2 linked regions of the Mus musculus genome follow. The protein of the gene in region 1 purifies or fractionates together with the protein of each later gene. This does not show direct contact. Links are inferred from orthologs where the notes say so. Each region holds a gene or a part of one and is shown on either strand. Other genes may lie near its edges.

Region 1 (5,165 bases):
CAAGTTCAGGACTCTCTCCACCCCCTTCTAGACTTGCTTTTCCCCCTTAAAGACAGTTTTGCCTCTTACCTTCAGCAAGCCATGTTTCTTGTAACTGACTCAGATCTTGAAAGAGTTCTAAAAAGCAAGTCAGACACACCAACATGAGACTCAACAGTCTGTAGGCTTCATCACATGAAAATGTTTGTCATGACACTGCCATTCAATATGATTTTAATTTAGGGAGTGTCAACTGAACATAGGATTCATATCCCAAGTATCTCAATAAATCCTGCTTGCTTATGACATCAATTAAGAGACACTTTAAGAGATTTCTTTAGGCAACTAAATAATATTATATTTAGGCAACTAAATCAAATTACCTTCTTTTATCTTTTTTTTTCTTTTTCAAAATAACTAAGAAGTAAGCTCAGAAAAAGAAAAAAAAAAAACTGAAATTCACTAAGATGGTCTAAGTACAGAAACCCTTCCTAAGAGTGTTTAACTCTTACTAAAATAGAAGTGGGGTAGATATTAGAAAGACAGGACATTTACACTTGAATTTTATGTACAAAATACCAACAGAACTTGAGTTAATTCCCAAGTTACCTTTTCCAGCCAAATAGCTCAACACTAACACAGGGTGCAACTTCAAATACAAGCTTTCAAGAAAAAAAAATTTTTTTAGCCGATCTGTAAACGTCAAAGACATTAGTGTCCTGCTTTGGTTTATTATTAATTCCAAATTATATTCTGCCACCTCACTTGGGGTGAGGGTGGGGGGTAGGAAGAAAAGTGTCTAATGAGAATGAAAATTTCATGAAGTTTTATAATTCAGTCCATTTAATTTTAAATTCAATGTGAACTTTAGTAATTAAGTCTAAGTTTCTTCAAATCATAATGAGTGGCCCCACAGGGCTGAAATAATTCATAGTATATTGACCTCCTACCAACAGTTTATAAGAAGAATCTACAGCCTAATTTACTAAATAATATTATAAGTATTCAATAAGCCTTAAGTTTGATCTAGTGAACATGTTACGGCCTATCAACAAATGTTATGACTTCAAAATGCAGTCATCAAACTCATAAAATTTCAACAATAATATATGGCTTCATTTATATTGTTTAACTTGTAATAAAGTTGAAAGAAAAATGTAAGCAGCAGGCATGGCTGCTTACTTTATCCCAGGGTGTTACAGTTTGAAATTGTTATCTCAGTACAGGGAATTATCTGACAAATGGACAAGAAGGAACACAAAATACTGTTTAAAATAAGAAGGTCACTGCTACGTGTTTATTTTCCTCTCATTACTTTTGTGACAAGACCATAAAATAGTCTCCAAGGCAAACTCACTGTGTGAGTGGTTGCATGTTTCAGTCCATATTTCAATGTCTACTATTTTTTCGATGAGATTAAGATGTCCCCCTTTGGAGGGGAAAAAGTATCAGTGAAAAAAGAGGCGTTCAGCTCAGAATCAAACCTCACCTTCTGAATCATGAGCCAGATCTCTGTTAATGAATTTTCTTTTCCTGACATTTGTTGGTTTCTCGGTACAGTTTCTCCCACGCTGACTCTACAAAGGGAAAGATAAAATCCTTTAAAAGAATATAAACCTCAGATGTCACACGTTTAAAAAAAATGCATACATAACTTAAGCCTACTGGATCCTCTCTCTGAGTAGAAAAGAAAAAGTTCACAGGAGAACTCCAACACATATTGTCTGACTTTGACAGTGGAGGCTCAGGCTGAGAGTTCGGCAGGCAGTGAGGAGGGAGAGTTGCTTCCCAGAGCATGTCCTAACACTCCTGCTTATCCTCATTCTAGTTACATGTAATCTCAGCATCAAAACATTAAGCTAAAACGCTTAATGTTTTTCTTTTCTTTCTTTTTTTTTTTTTCTGAATCAACTCCAGATTAAAACAGCGAATTCCATTCTCTCAGACAGCACCCCCACCCGTAATAAGAGAAGCCAAAGGAAAACTGGGAAAAGTGAGAAAATGAGAGGGGAGGGGGAAGACCCCCCCCAAGACACCCCATGTAAACACAAAATTGTCAGCATTTGTCTCAACTTCGTTCTTTTCAATGTGGCAGATAAACCCAGCCACAAACTTTGAGTGCAGCTGTTGCTGCCCTCCGTCTCCTCTTGCACTCATCGTGGACATATTAACCAGAAGAAGAGGTCTTAAAACAAAACTATGCCTTATCCGAATCACTCAAAGGTAAGCTCATTTTGTAGATAGGGCTTCTAGAAGCAGAGTCGCCCTACAGTGGCAACAAAGCAGATAAAGTGTCTGCAGTCCCAACCCCCTGCCCCCTCCCTTCGCATCTCTCGCTCTCCCCACCCCCGTCCAAGTCAAGTTTATAAACAGCAACTTTCGAACTGATCACTCACGTTGGTGACCACGTAAGGCACTTGCTGGTCATAAAATCCATCCATTCTGCTCCTCTTCGCAAATATTAGCTCAGTGTTTTATATTTTGAGCATTTAGCTGGAGATTTCCTCGGGATCTGGACTTCTATCAACCTAGAGGGGAACAAGATGGCTTTTAGGCTTAAAAAAAAAAAAATCATGAATGAAGCTCTTGCATTTGCATAGCTAATTACCCTCGACAGCCCCATTCACAAAAATAACCCTCCCCTACGCCGCCTTCTTCACCTGGATCCAAAGAGAGCCAAGAGAGTTCACAATTTACATACTTTCGGTCGTATCAAAAATCCTAACAAGAGGCAATGTATTTATTTACACTCTGGATGCTCCCTGCTCGGTCAGTGTACCCCAGGCGGCTCTGATTCGCAAACGTGGGCAAAACTAGCAATGGCGATCAACGAGACTTGCTTTTCACCTAACGGGACTAAAGAGACGGAGCTACCTCTTTCATAAGAATAGTTTTTGCAACCCACAACCATGCAATTATCTGGAGAGACATAAAAAGTTGTTGGAAATACCCACCTGAAGGCCACGCTAGGCGAACGGCTGCAAAAAATTCCCTCCAAATTTAATAAAAACATTAATTATTGCCCAGCACTTCCCCTTGGAAGCCGAAAGCGCCTCTGACAGAGCTGAATTCGGTGGTTTTTCCTCTACTTCTCCTCCAGGGGCCTCCAATCCAAACTGATGGATCGCTGCCTCCCATTGGCTCCACGTCTCTTTCACAAGATCAGATTTCGGGCTGTCAATCAGGCAGCTTTCGGCCCCTTCCCTTGGGTCTCCTGCGCCCCTATGCCTTTGCGACCACTCTGGGAGAAGTCGCAGGGTCCGCACCCAGGAAAAGCCACCGAGGGAAACTACTTCCTTCCTAACTCGCTGTTTTTGTTAAAACCGGAGGGATACTGAAACCTAGTGTATCGAGTCAACCAGTTCTCATTCCTAGCGTTGTTTGGTCCATTATTATGTCCTTAAAGCACTGTCGTAGAGGTTGGGGTACAGATCGAGTGTCCACAATCCCTTTTCTCTACCTTTGACCCGGAGTCCACCCACCACACGCTCCAGCCTTGCTCCTCAGAAGCTTTCGGTCCAAGCTATTTTTTTTCTCCATTTTCAACACTGTAATAGGGCTTATAAGATTTTTTTTAATACATCTTCAACAAAAATGATCTCCTTTCGTCCGTTGGACATGAAAATATTGTAAGGAAAGCAAGCGGGAGAAGCTGCTTCTAAGGAGAGGTGGCGCTGGAAGAGAGGATCCGGAGGAGTACGTAGCAGAGTGGGCGAGGAAAGTATAAAAATCAGATTCATCCTGGAGAGTGCTGAGAGGGAAAAAAACCTCCAGTGGCCACAGAGGGGTGGGGGAGGACTTGGTAGTTCAGATGCCCCCCTCCCGCACCCCTCCCCCGTCCCCGCCGTTTCCGGAGCTTTTGTTATGTATACAGAGAGGCGGAGGGTGTCACTTACTGTACTTGAAGATTTCACTTCCTCCACCAAGAAGTGGGGGAAGAGCAGGGAGGGCTCGGGTTACAAGGACAATGATGGGACCTTTGGAAGCGAGAATCTCTCTGAAGCTGCCTGCCCACAGAGCTTAGTTCTGATGTGTCCCCTTTGCAGCCGCTGCCCTACCAAGAATTGGAAGCCAGGGAGGAGTGGGGCCGGGGCTTTACGGTGCTAAAAGTCACTTGAGACCCTGGCGGGGACCAGAGCTGGGGACTAAAGGACTTTTCCAGCAGCTGTTTAGCCCCGTTGAGCAATGTGCTGCAGTTCTCAATTTCTATTTGAAAGTTTCTTCCCTTAAATGGAACATGGTGGAAACATCAAAATGGGAGCGTGCGCGCCTGGTACTCCGGACCCGCCGAGAAAGAGCGTAGTTTATGACAAAACCACTCTGCGCTTCACCAAGGGAAAAGTGTAGTCTTCCAGGGCACACACAATGCTTGCCCCAAGCCTAGTCAGGGCGCCGCGCGCGTCCTCTTTGAGAGAGGACAGTATCAGAGCCCGGGCGAGGGGTGCGTTCGAACGCTACTAGACTTTGTGAGGGTGCAACCCGAAGAGGGGAGCACAGCGTGGGTAACCCGCCAGTCTGCAAACCCCAGACAAGGCGGTAACAGTTTCCAAAGCCTTTCTGTGAGGCCAGAGCGGGACAGGTATCCAGAGCAACCGGGAGAGGGCGGAGCTTCTCGAAAGGCCCCGGGAGCTTGTCCCTGAAGCCAATGAGGAACCGTGGATTTCCAGTCCATTGTTGTTTATTGCTGACCCCGCAGCGCTCCGCCAGCGGATTGGATGCTTTCGAGCAGGGGGCGTTGCCCATTCCCCCCCCCCCCCACTCCACCTTTCGGCTCCATTCACAAAATCCCAATCTCTCTGGGTCACGTGGTTGGGGGCGTGGCGGATCAAGGAGAAAAAAAATACATAACAAAGGCCCAAGTTCCTCAAACCACAAAAGTTTTTGTTGTTGTTGTTGTTGTTGTTGTTTTGCAGGTGCGCGCAGGTGTCTGTGTGTTTCTGTTTTGGCTTTCCGCCTCTGCACACTTGGTACCAATGACCGTAGAGGAGGGGAAGTACCTTTCTATCGAAGAGCAATAGAGAGAGAGGAAGTAAGTCTAGGCTAATGGAACTCTCACATTGTATAATCCCGGGGTGCCCTGACTAAGAAAAAATCCTGAAAAGGAGGGAATTGAGAGTGGAAAGAAAGCTGAGAAAGGACTAGTAACTTTTCCTTGCTCTTCAGCACGTGGTTGTGTAAATGTGTAA
Region 2 (4,973 bases), on another chromosome or scaffold:
CTAGGACAACCAGGGCTACAGAGAAACCCTGCCTCGGAAAAAAAAAAAAAAAAACAAAAGAATTAACATTATTTAAACATAAACCTCATTTAGATATAAAAGATTACAGTAAGTTGAATTGCTCACAATCTGACACTGAAGTACAAAAAAGACAAAAGCACCCAGAGGCCAATTAGGAATAAAAAGAATTACTAAGACATTGCCTAATGTATATCCTACTCCAAGAGTTTGATCAAAATTAAACCTAGTTTAAGGAAAAATGCACTCACTGGTTAATTTTTCTGAATATACAACTTCACCAGAAAGAGAAATGATGAACTGAGATTCTTACACGGTAAAAGATTCAGAATTTTAGCCACAAATACTCACTGGATGTTTTCATAATAGAATATAAAATGCCTATACAATGTAAGAGTATAATTACTTACTTTTATTTTATGTATATGAGTGCTTTGCCTACAAGTATGTCTGTATGCTACTTGTGTGCCGGGTGCCTGTGGGGCCTGGAAGAGGGATTCAATGCCCTGGAGATGGAGTTACAGACATTGTTATGTGGGTGCTGGGAATCAAACCCATCTTTTGCAAGAGCAACAAGAGCTCCTGTCCACTGAAGTCTTCTCACAAGCCAGTAGGCTCAATTGATTTCTTTTAAACAACAAGGTGATGAACTAATAATTTAGTCTTACTCCTGAGCTAGTTATAGAAAAAGTTAAAACCTGTCAACTTAACCACAATCTAGAACCACATGGAAAGAGTTTCAACCAAGGAGCAGTCTAGATCAGGTGGGCCTATTGGCATAGCTGTAGGGGATTGTCTTGATTGCTAACAGACTTAAGAAGACCCAGCCCATTGTGAGCAGCACCACCAGGCTATGGAGGCCTGACTACAGGAGTGGAGAAAGCCAGCTGAGTCACAGGCCAATAAGCAGGCAGGCAGCATGGACACTCCTCCCTCTGCTTGACAGTGGCTAGGACTCTTTAAGCTCCTGCATTGCTCTCTCCACAATAACGAACTGTAACTGAAACTTCCAGCCAAATAAACCTTTCTCTTCTCTAAGTGGCTTATAGTCAAGGTATTGGTCACAGAAACAGAAATGAAAATAGGACACGCCTAATAAAAACAATTGCCAGCTGTACCTCGTTCACCTCCAGTAATACAGGCTACACCACAGACTGTGGTACTCTGAGATAGTTCAACAGTCAGTGCCTAAGTTATCTGTTTAATAATTGAATAATACTGATTTCTCACACCTTTTACACTATTAAACGACCTAAGGATGCTGGCATCTTGGTTTGAACTACAAATAATGGCCAAAAAGAAAAAAGCAAACTGTTTTACTAGTTTCTACCTTATCATGTGACACTATTGATTGGACAAGAATACAAACACCTCACCCAGGCAGTGGTGACAAACACCTTTAATCCTAGCACAAGAAGGAAGAGGCAGGAGGATCTCTGAGTTCAGGGCCAGCCTGTTCTACAGAGCTAGTTCCAGGATATCCAGGGCTACACAGAGAAACCCTGTCTCTAAATAAATAAATAAATAAAGCCAAACAAAAAAAGGAATGCAAACACCTCTTACACCCAACCATAAACTTCTTAAATTACAAATAACCACAGCTATAATTCTATTTCAACACACACACAACTTCTGAATCTAAACAAAAGCAAAATTACGAATTATATTAGTGAACAAGAAAGTGTAGCTAATACCTTTCTCAATGGTTACAATCTCTAAGCTTATCATCTTTAATAATACCATTTAAGCCCATCTTCTACTGTGATCTGAACTAACTTCCCCAAGCATGACTGTTCAAGCCAACTTCCTACATCATTAAGTCAAACAACAAGTTCCTTCTTAGGAAAGGCCCAGAATTCTACCAGTTTGTGAGCAGGAAATCTTCATTAAGCTCTCATAATCTTACCAGTAATATCAAAACCCAATTAAAATTCAAAGCATTCTTCAAGACAATCAGATTCATCTTTTGCTTAAAGTCCCTCTTAGATGCCAAATGCCTGAATTCTACTGTGTCGCTCAAGATGCCAGCTGTGATGCAATGACTGTAAAAGCGTTTCTCAAGTCAGAGATTCCAGTGTATACACAGCGCTGCGATCGTTCCATACAACACAGAAACACTAAAAATGTGTTTCCCTTTTTCCAACAGTTGAAACCTGGAATTGGGTGTGAACAAACTTTGACTACAAAATTATTAACAGTATTACAAGTGTCCTATCTATTCAAATTCATATTCCAACGCAGGATGGGCAAAAATAACTTCGTAAAGCATCACCAACCAGGTTTCGAGCACCATCTACTTTTTTACAATATAGTGTTGACCAGCAATCCCACACCTCAGAATCACCAGGCACTAACTAGTCTTCTACCTCCGAAAATCATGAACTACTCCTGACTGATACTTCGTCCACTAGATGGCCAAAAAAAGAAAGAAAACAAAAACAAAAACCAGAAGGGATTTAACCTCCTACCCCGAATACTTCCTTTCTAATAACCACTTACTGGACCTCCATCTTTATCCTTAAGCACTCCCTTAAATGCCTTCAGTTCCTGGACACCAGCACCCACTTCTGTGCAATCCCATTTCACCACTTTGCCTAAGGATCCCAGTCCAGCTCCACCTCCCAACCGGGAACCTTAACTCTGCAAACACTCAACTCTCTAGGTTCGAATCCCAGCACCTCCAACAGGCCTCCCTCCACGGGACCCCGCCAGGCTCAGCAGCAGAAACTCGTGGTCATGCACGCAGGGGCTGCTATGCAAACCCACCAGACGAAGTCGTTGCTTTTGTCCTCGTAGGAGTTGAGGAGCCCGTTACAAAGCGGGACGAGCAGAGGTCGCTTCCTACTGCTACTGCCGAGGCTGGAGCTGCTCCCTCCAACGCCGGCGCTGGGCCTGGCCGCGCAGCTGAGCCGGGACTGGCCCGCGGACACCGCCCCGCCGGCGCTCGCGCTGCCAGACACCGCGGCCGCCACCAGCACAGGCCGCCCCGGGCCGCCGAGGCCGCCGGAGCCCGCGGCCGGAGCCACGCCGCCGGACACCAGCGTCGCCGCCGAGGCCGCCACGGACGGCGGCGACGGAGACGAGGATAAGGACGAGGAGGCGGAAGTCACCGAGGAGGCGGCCGAGGAGCCGGGGCTCGTCCCAGCGGAACCCGAGCCGGCCTGGCGGCTACCTGACATCGTGACTCCCTCCCTTGGCCCTGCGCTCCGAGGCGAGGGCCCGGACAGACCGCGACCCTCCGCCGCCCCCGGCGCTCAGCTCCCGAGCATCCTGAGGACGCGCCGGGAGACGGGCCGGGGGAACAATAAAGTTAGGCTTCCCACCGCCGCCCCGCCGCCGCGTCCTACGCGAGGGGGCGGGGGAAACTATCACATCCGAGGAGCCATGACTGCCGAGGAGGCCGCCGGGGCAGCCAACCCGGGCGCGCCGAGGCGGTCGGGCTTGCGCATGAGCGGCGGAAGGGGCGGGGCAGCGGAGCAGCTGCGCGCGCAGGCGCCGGCGCCGGCGCCGGGCTGTACGGAGATGCCGAGCGTGTAGTTCTCCGAGTGGAAAGCTGATTTCCTTTCTGACGTAGTAGAGAGATGGCCGTTTTCATGGAGCCAAAGGGTGGAAGGGGAAAGGACGGGGAATCTGGTCTAGTGGACCGGGAACGCTCGAAAAGCAACTGCTTAAGCGTGCCCCGGGTGGACGCTGGCGGATTGCCCAGCTAAAACTGCGGCGGTACGGAGCAGTGGTGTTGCGCATGCGTGTGAGCGAGCGCGCATGCGGCTATGGATTATTATCTGGAAAATACTAAGCTCACTTGTGTTCTCTTGCGGCTTCGCGCTTTTTCCCGATTGTGTGGCAGGAATATAATTTGTTTTCGTTTAGATTTTTTTTTTCTGTTTAGATTTTGAAGTCCTGTTAGGAGGAGTAAGGGGCCAGGGCAGTGAAAAAGGGTTACAAGCCTTAGGTTTCAATCTGAAAGAGCCACAACGTGAGGACTTCCCCACGTTCTGACTCAGGAGAGGCGACACCCCAAAATCACCAACGAGAAACGGTCTTGCTGCAAATTGCAAGAGGATTTTTATTCAAGAGCGCTCTCGGCCCACGGTCATACACCACGCAGGGGTAGAGGACCGTGGCGCCCCGAGTAGCTGGGTTAGGGGGTATTTAAAGGAAGAAACCACAACTTAAGGAGGTGGGAAGGGCGTTGTTGGAAAATACCAAAAATACCAGTTAAGAGTCACAAGGAAGTACAAAGTCACAAGTGTCAGGTTATCTCTCAAGACAGTTTCTAAGAGCCCCTAACAATCTAAGAGCCCCTAGCAATAGCACCTTTGCATAGTGGGTTCCAGCAATGGTCAGGGTGACTTTCTTTGAATTAACACTCTTTGAACCCAGGAAGCTGATGGGTGGAGGAATGTTGATATCTGTTTTATGATTAGCATACCTTGGAGCATTGAGTCACAAAGGCAAAATTCCCAAGCCTGGGCCCAAAGGCCTAGAATTTTGTCTTTATTACTCTTTCAAATCAAACATTTTATAGTACCAGAAATTATTTGCTTCTTGTCCCTGATGTCACTTATCTAAATTATCTCCAACCTTTTGTAAAACCTCATTGATAACTCCGTCTTTGTTGGCATTGAAGCAGCAATACTCGCCTAGTTCCCCTGGGAAATGAAAACTAAGTCTAAACCTGGCCGGTTTAGGAGGACAACTTTTGTCAGAGCCTCTGTCTGGACATGAAGCAGATAGAATTCAACGTGTCTGATGTCTACCAGTCTGATGATGCATCTGTTGTAGGCTCCTTTATCCTCTGATTAGGGATACAGTACTTAGGGCTACTGTCCTTATTCCTTCTGTCACTGGACCACAGAGAGCGGCAACCCAAGGGGGAATAAGAGATGGGCACCTTATGGTCCTGGATAAGCATACACTTGGAGTATATACATAAAACTGGATTATTATACACA

What was found.
Region 2: the proteins of Etv1 (region 1) and Cop1 purify together in Homo sapiens (affinity purification with mass spectrometry; 4 studies listed by BioGRID and IntAct, counting the BioPlex papers as one, with this or other methods). This does not show direct contact. The link is inferred for Mus musculus from reciprocal best matches to the Homo sapiens genes ETV1 and COP1.

Annotation. Positions count from the first base shown.
Region 1 is NC_000078.6:38,778,190-38,783,354, reverse strand, and holds the start of Etv1 (ETS translocation variant 1), read right to left. Parts: upstream 3,274-5,165; 5' UTR 2,934-3,273; intron 2,806-2,933; exon of another isoform or gene 2,640-2,805; intron 2,508-2,639; 5' UTR 2,421-2,507; coding exon 2,376-2,420; intron 2,253-2,375; exon of another isoform or gene 2,146-2,252; coding exon of another isoform or gene 2,053-2,145; intron 1,557-2,052; coding exon 1,469-1,556; intron 118-1,468; coding exon 70-117; intron 1-69. UniProt on the Homo sapiens protein: Transcriptional activator that binds to DNA sequences containing the consensus pentanucleotide 5'-CGGA[AT]-3'. Required for olfactory dopaminergic neuron differentiation; may directly activate expression of tyrosine hydroxylase (TH).
Region 2 is NC_000067.6:159,230,662-159,235,634, reverse strand, and holds the start of Cop1 (E3 ubiquitin-protein ligase COP1), read right to left. Parts: upstream 3,436-4,973; 5' UTR 3,198-3,435; coding exon 2,785-3,197; intron 1-2,784. UniProt on the Homo sapiens protein: E3 ubiquitin-protein ligase that mediates ubiquitination and subsequent proteasomal degradation of target proteins.